Linked DNA regions of Tribolium castaneum. The protein of the gene in region 1 interacts with the protein of each later gene in a pairwise test. Links are inferred from orthologs where the notes say so. Each region holds a gene or a part of one and is shown in the gene's direction. Other genes may lie near its edges. The genes, in order: Ccz1 and Mon1.

What was found.
Region 2: the proteins of Ccz1 (region 1) and Mon1 interact in a two-hybrid assay, tested with the Caenorhabditis elegans proteins (2 studies listed by BioGRID). The link is inferred for Tribolium castaneum from reciprocal best matches to the Caenorhabditis elegans genes ccz-1 and sand-1.

The regions. Positions count from the first base shown.
Region 1 is NC_087394.1:35,479,805-35,483,902, reverse strand, and holds Ccz1 (vacuolar fusion protein CCZ1 homolog), read left to right. Parts: upstream 1-1,521; 5' UTR 1,522-1,579; coding exon 1,580-1,654; intron 1,655-1,698; coding exon 1,699-1,796; intron 1,797-1,843; coding exon 1,844-1,937; intron 1,938-1,984; coding exon 1,985-2,191; intron 2,192-2,237; coding exon 2,238-2,413; intron 2,414-2,467; coding exon 2,468-2,757; intron 2,758-2,803; coding exon 2,804-3,205; intron 3,206-3,253; coding exon 3,254-3,312; 3' UTR 3,313-3,406; downstream 3,407-4,098. Other genes in the region: mini-chromosome maintenance complex-binding protein, read right to left, coding at 1-71, 124-680, 725-823, 874-1,056, 1,106-1,195; uncharacterized protein LOC655748, read right to left, coding at 3,473-3,736, 3,884-4,098.
Region 2 is NC_087396.1:19,985,290-19,989,416, forward strand, and holds Mon1 (vacuolar fusion protein MON1 homolog), read left to right. Parts: upstream 1-1,547; 5' UTR 1,548-1,746; coding exon 1,747-2,042; intron 2,043-2,088; coding exon 2,089-2,286; intron 2,287-2,332; coding exon 2,333-2,576; intron 2,577-2,621; coding exon 2,622-3,335; 3' UTR 3,336-3,470; downstream 3,471-4,127. Other genes in the region: phytanoyl-CoA dioxygenase, peroxisomal, read right to left, coding at 1-57, 238-349, 402-518, 571-578; Prp38 (pre-mRNA-splicing factor 38), read right to left, coding at 3,471-3,866, 3,913-4,127.

The DNA.
Region 1 (4,098 bases):
TTTCAAGCATTGGGACGTTGGAAATGTTTAAGGAAAATTTTCCAAGTGCCATTAAATCTTTCCGCAAGTAGCTAAAAGTCTACACGTGAAAAATAGCAGAATCAAATGTGCGAATTCCCTTACACTTTAGAAATGAAGTGGTAAATTAAATACTCGGCTGCCAATTCATCTCCACACATTAATTGTGTTAATAGAATCAAAAGTTCTTTTCTAATGATCTGCATTTTATCAGCGCTCATTTTTTCGTGCGTAACTAATGGATTATTGTGAGTCAATGATTTGAACGACACACAATGAATTCTAGGAATTAAACACGGAGGAGGATTGTGAATTTGAGACTCCAGACCGTTCATATCATCATCAATGTTAGCCCCTAAAAGCGGATTGAGGGACAAAAAGCCCACAAATTCACAAATTGAGTTCAATTTAATCTTGTCCATGTCTTTGTATACTTTTAAGTGGCATACTTTGCCAGACGGATTGGGGATTGGGAAATTTAAAAGGTACTCTTGGGAAACAACAGGTGTTGTTTCTGCAGGTTGTGCTGACTGATTACATGGGCGCTTGTTAGAGTTTGATGGTTCAGTTGCACTAGCGACTTCCATTTCTTCAACGGGTCGTTTTAAGTGCACTGAAGTTGAAGAGCTTGTAGACGGTAGTTTGTACCTGTCCTCCTCAAGCTAATTTTTTTATTACACAACCCCTCAATTAAAACAATACTCACTTTATGAACCCATGGATTAATACCAGGGATTGAAATTGCAACGTAAACATGCCGCTCACTTGGAGTGGTTGAGGGACATTCCTCAATGGTTTCATTAGACTGTCAACACATACTCAGCCCCCGAATAGCTTTCAAAAAATTACTCTTACCTTACAGTCTGCACCATCAACGTATTTGCCGTATTTAATAGTACTTTCTGCAGTTTCAGTGTTTGTAACAGTGAATTTTTCCAAGTAGAGTTCGGGACCGTGCATATCCTGTATCATGCCCTGGAAGCGAACCAGTTGCCAGTCTTGGAAATTGTGCAGCTCGTTTGCATTCAACAGTGGAATCTAACAATGTACAAAGTGTTCAAAAATTGTAAAAGTGTAACTTTCTAACCTGATTCCAGATTTGTTCGTTTTGAAGTAATTCCGAATATTTCGTTTCGTTTAGGTACCATTGGTCGGGCCTACAGTTTAATAAGTCCATTTTTGCACTCGTTATTATTATTTTTAAAGAAAAAGGAACACCCGAAAATAACCTCGAAAAAGGGTTACACTTTTTGGCGCCAAATTATATGTCAATCTTTGCGTTGCAACTTGCAATTTCCCTAATCCCAAACAACTTTAAAAAATATTAAAGACACTTGAGGAAGGAATAATTATACAATAGATATGCTCTAGTTCTAAAACTGACGGCAAAAGTAGGTACTTTGGTACCTGTCCGCGTATTTTTAATGTTTGAGATGTATGGCAAATGAATAATATGGATCAATGGATATTGCTAAACATAACATAACCTAGTAAAAATTTTGGACTTGAAAAATTTGTTTCTAAAAACATAATATTATTCAATAAGTTTCGAACCGGAATTATGAGTAAAAACAAAGACGTGGAGTTAAAAAACTTTTTTATTTTCAATTCTCTATATGGCCCCAAGGAAGGGGAGGTGCGTACGCCCCTTTTAGAACACAATCACAATGTCTTTTCCAGGAACTGAAAAAAATTCTTTATTATTATCCAATATCTGACAATGCCGATGTACAAATAAAGAATGTGGGGTTAGTTGAGGGGATCATTCAATTCACTGGGTAAAGTGTTTGAGATAAGGGGCAAAAAACTGTAAGATTTCTTGTAGCACATTTAAACCAAGCACTCCAGTGAATTCACTACATACGCAAAAAATGCGTCAATTGTATTTCCAACCAGAAAAAAATATGTGGATTGTTTTGGTATTTACACATCTTTAATCAATACTTTTAAGCACTAAATATTATAGACGTTAACTTTACCAACCGAAGTTAAGGGGAAGGACAGTTCAACTCAAATCGAATATCTCGAGGATGATGTACAAGACAATGTTTACGAAGCCGTCTTAAAACAAGCCTATTACACGTATAGACTTTTCTGGGGCACTTTTGAACACACGATTGAGAACCACGATGTGGGCACACTTAAAACAAGACTTGAAAGTTTCTATAAAGCTGTAAGTTAACAAGATTATTTAAGAAATTTTAATTTATACTTCACAGTATCTGAAAACCTTAAAACTAGGGCATGCTGATATTCTGAACGTGTTCCACGGAATTCAGTATCTGCCTCTTGACAAACTAACTTTTTTAAAAGTCCAATGTTTTATCAATTCACTTGAATGCGAGTATCCCGAAATTGCGTACACAGCGTTCTTATACAACGATCATCTCATATGGTAATTAATTCAAATAACTTAAAACTTGTTTTATAAGTAATAACTAATTCAAAGGAGCGGTTTTGAACCCAAAGACATGAAAATTGTGTACCAATATTTAATTGGCACTTTACTGCCCGCCAACATGGAGGCTGAACTTCAAGGGGGCTCAATGCCCCGTAATTCTGTTTCACCTTTTGCTGCATTACATCACGGTCGTTTCATTACGGGACCTACAAATTTAAAAACAGCCAAAAATGTGGGGAAAATACCCAAAGTTTATTTATTTGCCTCAGGGAAGGCCGAGTCCTACAACTTGGTGGTTTATAGGGCGCTAAGTGCGTCCGTTTGTTTATTTATGAGAGGTTTGTTTCGTTTGTTTGGTTTTATTAAATTAATTGTTAATTATAGCCGACAAGGAGTTAAGTTTGCAATATTTCAAAGACATGGACGAGTTCATTAGCCCCAAATTGACTGCAATCGTGTCAGATATTTCCGAATATTGTTCCAAACAAGTGATTACGCCATCAAATGTCCCCGAAAACGCTCCAAGGTTTATCTATTTCAATAAATTGAATTTGGCTTACAAAAGCACAGCGCATTTGGATAATAAACAAACGGGAAACATTGCATGTACCAAAGAATCTTTAAAAATAATGGCTGATTTGAACAATAAGAGATCACTGTTGGGCCACTCTAGCGAGACGATAGTCAAAACAATGAATGACTATTGGGTTGTTGCGAAAAACTCGAATTCTAGAGAATTTTACGTGGCTTTGCAGCAGAAAAATGCAAGTCTTATCGACATAAGCGGTAAGTATAAAATGTTACGTTATTTTTTTATTTCATTAATTTTTGTAGAAGAAATAAAAAAATTGTGTGATACCGAATTAAAAGGCATCTTCTTCCACCCACTGTAGGATTTGGTACAAAAAAAAACACGATTTTTATTGCAAAAATCATTTATTAATAAGTGTACATAAGTAGGCAAATACAAAATAACTTAACACTAAATCCTAAGAAATCACAATATTGCAACTACCATGGAGTGTGGCGTTAAGTAGTATAAATGAGGTGAGATTATTTTTTGGGGAAGAATGTCAGTTCAGTGTGAGTTTGTGCGAACAAAACGTTCAGTTGCGAGTCCAAACCGACATTCTCTACCCTAATAACGTGAGCTTCATTTCTGTTGGGCTCTTTTCGCACCACAGCCAAGCCATAGACGCGCATCAATCTCTCGCTGCTTTCGTCACATCCTCCACCGGGAATAGCAATGGCAATGTGGCACATGACGTCAATGTGGACGTATTTCTCAATCGCGTGCTTGCCAGACTGCGTCTTAACCTGGAAATGATGAGAAAAATTTAATCTCTACAAAAATTAAGTTCAATTCCACTAATGAAAATTTTTCATTACCAACCCAAAATTTTGAAAAACGATCTTGCATTCTTTAAAATTTTCAGAAAATATAACGTTCTAGTTGCGACTTACCTTCTCCATTTTTTCCTCAATTTGAGGCTTGTCAGCTCGCCAAACTGTAGCTTCACCCAAAATCTGGTCCCCAGCTTTGATTACAAACTTCATGTCTTTATGAACGGCTCTGATTTCCAAACCGAGACCATCGGGATGGTTATCAGACCATAGATAATTGTCAGGGTTGAGCAGAGAGTCAGGTTCGAAGGTCAATCGTTTGGCATAACCCATTC
Region 2 (4,127 bases), on another chromosome or scaffold:
CACTGGTTTGTCCGAACAATATTTGAAAAGAACTTCATCGTAAAGAAAATCTTGGATCTGAAATTTTTTTCATGTTTTCAGCGTTTCCTATCATAAATACTTAATTTCTTAACTATTAATGTAAAATTTTGAAAGAAATATTAAAAAAAACACATGAGTATAGAACAAAATGAAGCATTCAACAGCAAATGCTTTTGTATTCACAAAAACTTAACGTAGCAATTTTTATTATCATACCTTATTTATTAAATATTGCCCTCTGACACCTTTATGTTTTAAAGAAGGGTCTTTCATAACAGTCATAAATCCAGGGTCAGCCACTCCGTCGCATATTTTGATGAATCTATCTCTGTATTAAAAATAATAATAAAATATTTAAAGAAAATTAAAGGAAACATTACTGAATTTCATCCAATAAGGCATGACTAACATTGTTCTTTATCACAATATATCCATTATCTTCATAAAATTGGCGTTGTTCGTATGTTAGAACACCACCGTCTTGAGTATACCTAAATCTAAAAATTGTACTTATTAATATGCACTTAATTTTTTGTTTAACTAAATTACCTTCCCATTTTGTTCGGTAACGCAGACAATTCTCTTAAGAAACTTGTCCGAATAATACACTAAAACATAAAATTATCTTGTTTATTAAATACACTTGAATTATGTTGCGTCATTGAAGCATTTATTTATAACAATACAAAAAACATGTACTTAATGATTTCAGTGTCAGTAGTAAGTAATAACAACACATTATCGAACAGATACTCAATAATAAACAATTACTTTGAATTTACTTGTACTGTTTTTAATCAAATGTCAAGCATCCCACCGTTTAAATAAATAAATCAATGATACGAGAACAGTAAGAGCCGGTTTACAGAAAATTTTAATTGCAATTAAATTTTAATCGCGATTAACTTGACATTTGTCAATGCATTTTAAATGGCAACTTAATTCGAATTAGTTTAATTTCGAATTAAATCTTAATTTCGCTTTCTGTAAACCGATCCTTAAACTTATAATTAAACATACTGTCTATTTTTTTCTCGATTTTGTTACTTAAGTACCTACTACTTAAGCCGTAGATATACATATCGCTCAAATTGTAACACACTATAATAATTATTTGTGCGTAAAAAGGAACTAACAAATGCTTTTTCTTATTATCGTTGTTTGTTAGTTGTTAAACACTCACCTCGTTATCACAGCACGCAAAGTACAGTAAATAATAAAAGTCTTGACCTCTGCATACCCAACAGATGATCTAACTAAAATTTCACTATTTATCTAGTTAGAAGGTTGGTAATGCTATATTTTTAAATAAATTAAGTGTATTTCAGTGATGTATTTATTTTCAAGTTTGAAATAACATACTACTACCAAAATCAAAATTAATTTGAAACCAAAATGTAGTGCAATAAAATAAAAAATGACATTCTCTTATTTTTTACACAATAACTACGTATTTAAAAAACTTGGAAAAGCGGAAACTCAATTAATATAATAGTTGCTCTTAACTTGTTTAACCACCTTAAAGCCCTGCCTTAAGAGTTTTAGTTAGAAGTATTAGTTAGAAGGTTGGCACCAAAATTGACAACTGTCAAAAAAATGTCAGGTTGAGGTTAGAAATCAATCAATCAAAGAGCAATGCATTGAAATCTCAAAAACCCAACAAAATTCCGACGATTTTTCAAGAATGTTCGTGAATTTCACGTGAACTAAAACCCCCAACAAAAAATGTCCTCGAATCTGGAAGTTGAGCCGGGGGCAGCCTCCGAGAGTGTCCTTGTTACCACCGACTCCTTTGACAATTTTGATCACATGAGCTCGAGCCTCGAAGAAATCAAAAACCTGAATGCACTCGCGGAAAACGACTCAAACGTGGAAAACAGCAACGTCGAGAATTTTGACGAAATCAGCGAGAATCTCTCAATTAACAACGAAGAGGACGATTTCGTCCAGTCAAAGGAGTGGGCTTGTAAGAACAAACATGTCTTTGTCCTCAGCATGGCCGGGAAACCCATCTATTCGAGGTTGTTATCGTTTGCATAATTTTTTTCTTTACAACTTATGTCTCAGATATGGAAACGAGGATAAGCTAGCCTGGTTGTTCGGTGTTATGCAAACACTGGTTAGCTTCGTACAGTCAAATGAGGACACCATTAGGAGCATCCATGCCGGGGACACGAAGTTTGTCTTTTTAATTAAGAAACCGTTAATTTTAGTCGCCGTTTCTCGAACGCAGGAAAGTGTAAATCAGCTGTGTTCACAACTAAAGTGAGGGTTCCCACTTTGTTATTTTTTCTAGTTTTGTTTATTGCAGCTACGTATTTAATCAAATAGCCAGTGTCTTAACCTTGACTAGACTTAATAAAATTTACGAGCAACGCCAGAATTATGACTTAAGACGGCTTCTGGCAGGTGTTGAGAGACTCATTGACCACTTGCTAGATTTCTCAGAGAAGGAGCCTTCGTTCACTTTGGGCGCAGTCCAGTGTCTGTCACTTGCGTCCTCAGTGAGAGACAACATCAGCTCGGCCATTGTCGGAGCTTGCAGCAAAATTAAAGTAAAAAAATTGTTTCAAAAAACATTTTTAAAATATCGTTTCCAGAACCTAGTTTTCGCAATACTTCTCGCAAACAATAAACTTATCACTCTAGTCCGCATGAAAAAATATTGCCTTCACCCGGCCGATCTCCATTTAATATTTAACTTAGTCCAAGCCTCCGAAAGCCTCAAAACGGCTGAAAGTTGGACACCGTTATGTCTTCCACGGTTTGACGCTAGTGGTTTTTTATACGGACATGTGTCCTACTTGGCTGAAGACTGTCAAGCGTGTTTGCTCCTCCTGACGGTGGAAAGGGACGTATTTTTTGCCCTAAGTGAGGCGAAACAACGCATAGTGGAAAAACTGCGACGCAGCAACTGCTTAGAAGCAATCAATGAGTCGCTGAGTGCGAAAGAAGAAACTTGCATTGTTGCGGGTTTCCCCGAACTTAGGCACTATTTGTACAAATGCAAAAGTACAGCACAGTTCTACCAACCAAGCTTGACCCCACCGTACACCAAATATAACGAGAGACTAACAAAGTTGTACAAACGGGCGCATAACTTGTTGCATTGCTCGACGAGGCCGCTAAAGTTGTTATTTGAGAAAAACTCAGACGAGGCGATTTTGGCGTGGGATACGAGAGGTTTTGAGCTTTATGTAGTTTTCGAGCCCTTGATTGACACAAACAGTGCGATTAACTCAGTGGGGCGGCTGCTGAACTGGATTAAGAAAAGGGAGGAGAAGTTGTTTCATCTCAATGCGCCCACTTTTTGAGCCATTTGATTTGTATATATTATAAATATGTAAATTTTGTGGAAATCTAAGGTATAGGCTTAATCTGTGATATTCACAATCCTAAACTTGTTGATGTATTTAATTATTGATTGTATAAAACGATGTATTGAAAAATCAGTGGTGTCTGTCTCGCTCCCGTTTCCTGTCTTTATCCTTACGATCTCGCTCTTTTTCGCGGTCTTTCTCCCGGTCCTTGCGCTCCTTCTCCCTGTCTCTTCTCTCCCTATCGCGCTCCTTCTCCCGGTCGCGGTCCCTCTCCTTGTCCTTCTCCTTCTTGTGGCGTTCCTTACTCCGACTGCGATGCCTTTCTCTGGATCTGCTGCGTTCCCGCTTCCTCTCCCTTTCTTTCTTCTCTTTGGGCTTTTCTTCAACCAACTCGTACTTGTTTTCTTCCTCAAGTTCAATCTCTTCGTCCAAGTCGTCTTCAAGGGCCGAGATCTTGGCTTCGAGTTCGTTGCTTTCTTCCAAAACAATGCGTTTTTGAATGCGTGGCAAAATAACATCACAAACCTTAAAAATTAATTTTACTATCTACCGTAACAAAAAAAACACGTACTCGTTCCTCTCGTAACAATTCGTCAATAAACTCGTCCATGTGTACAATTTCAAACTGCGCTTGGCGATTTTGTCGCCGCAACTTCCTGTTGTCGTTGTACAAAGGCTCAAGATATTTGTAACAGTCTAAGGACGACCCTGTGAGTCTCATGTAGAAAGCACCGAGGGCTCTGACGTATTTAAACTCCTCGTTTTTGATGAATTCAACTACAATGT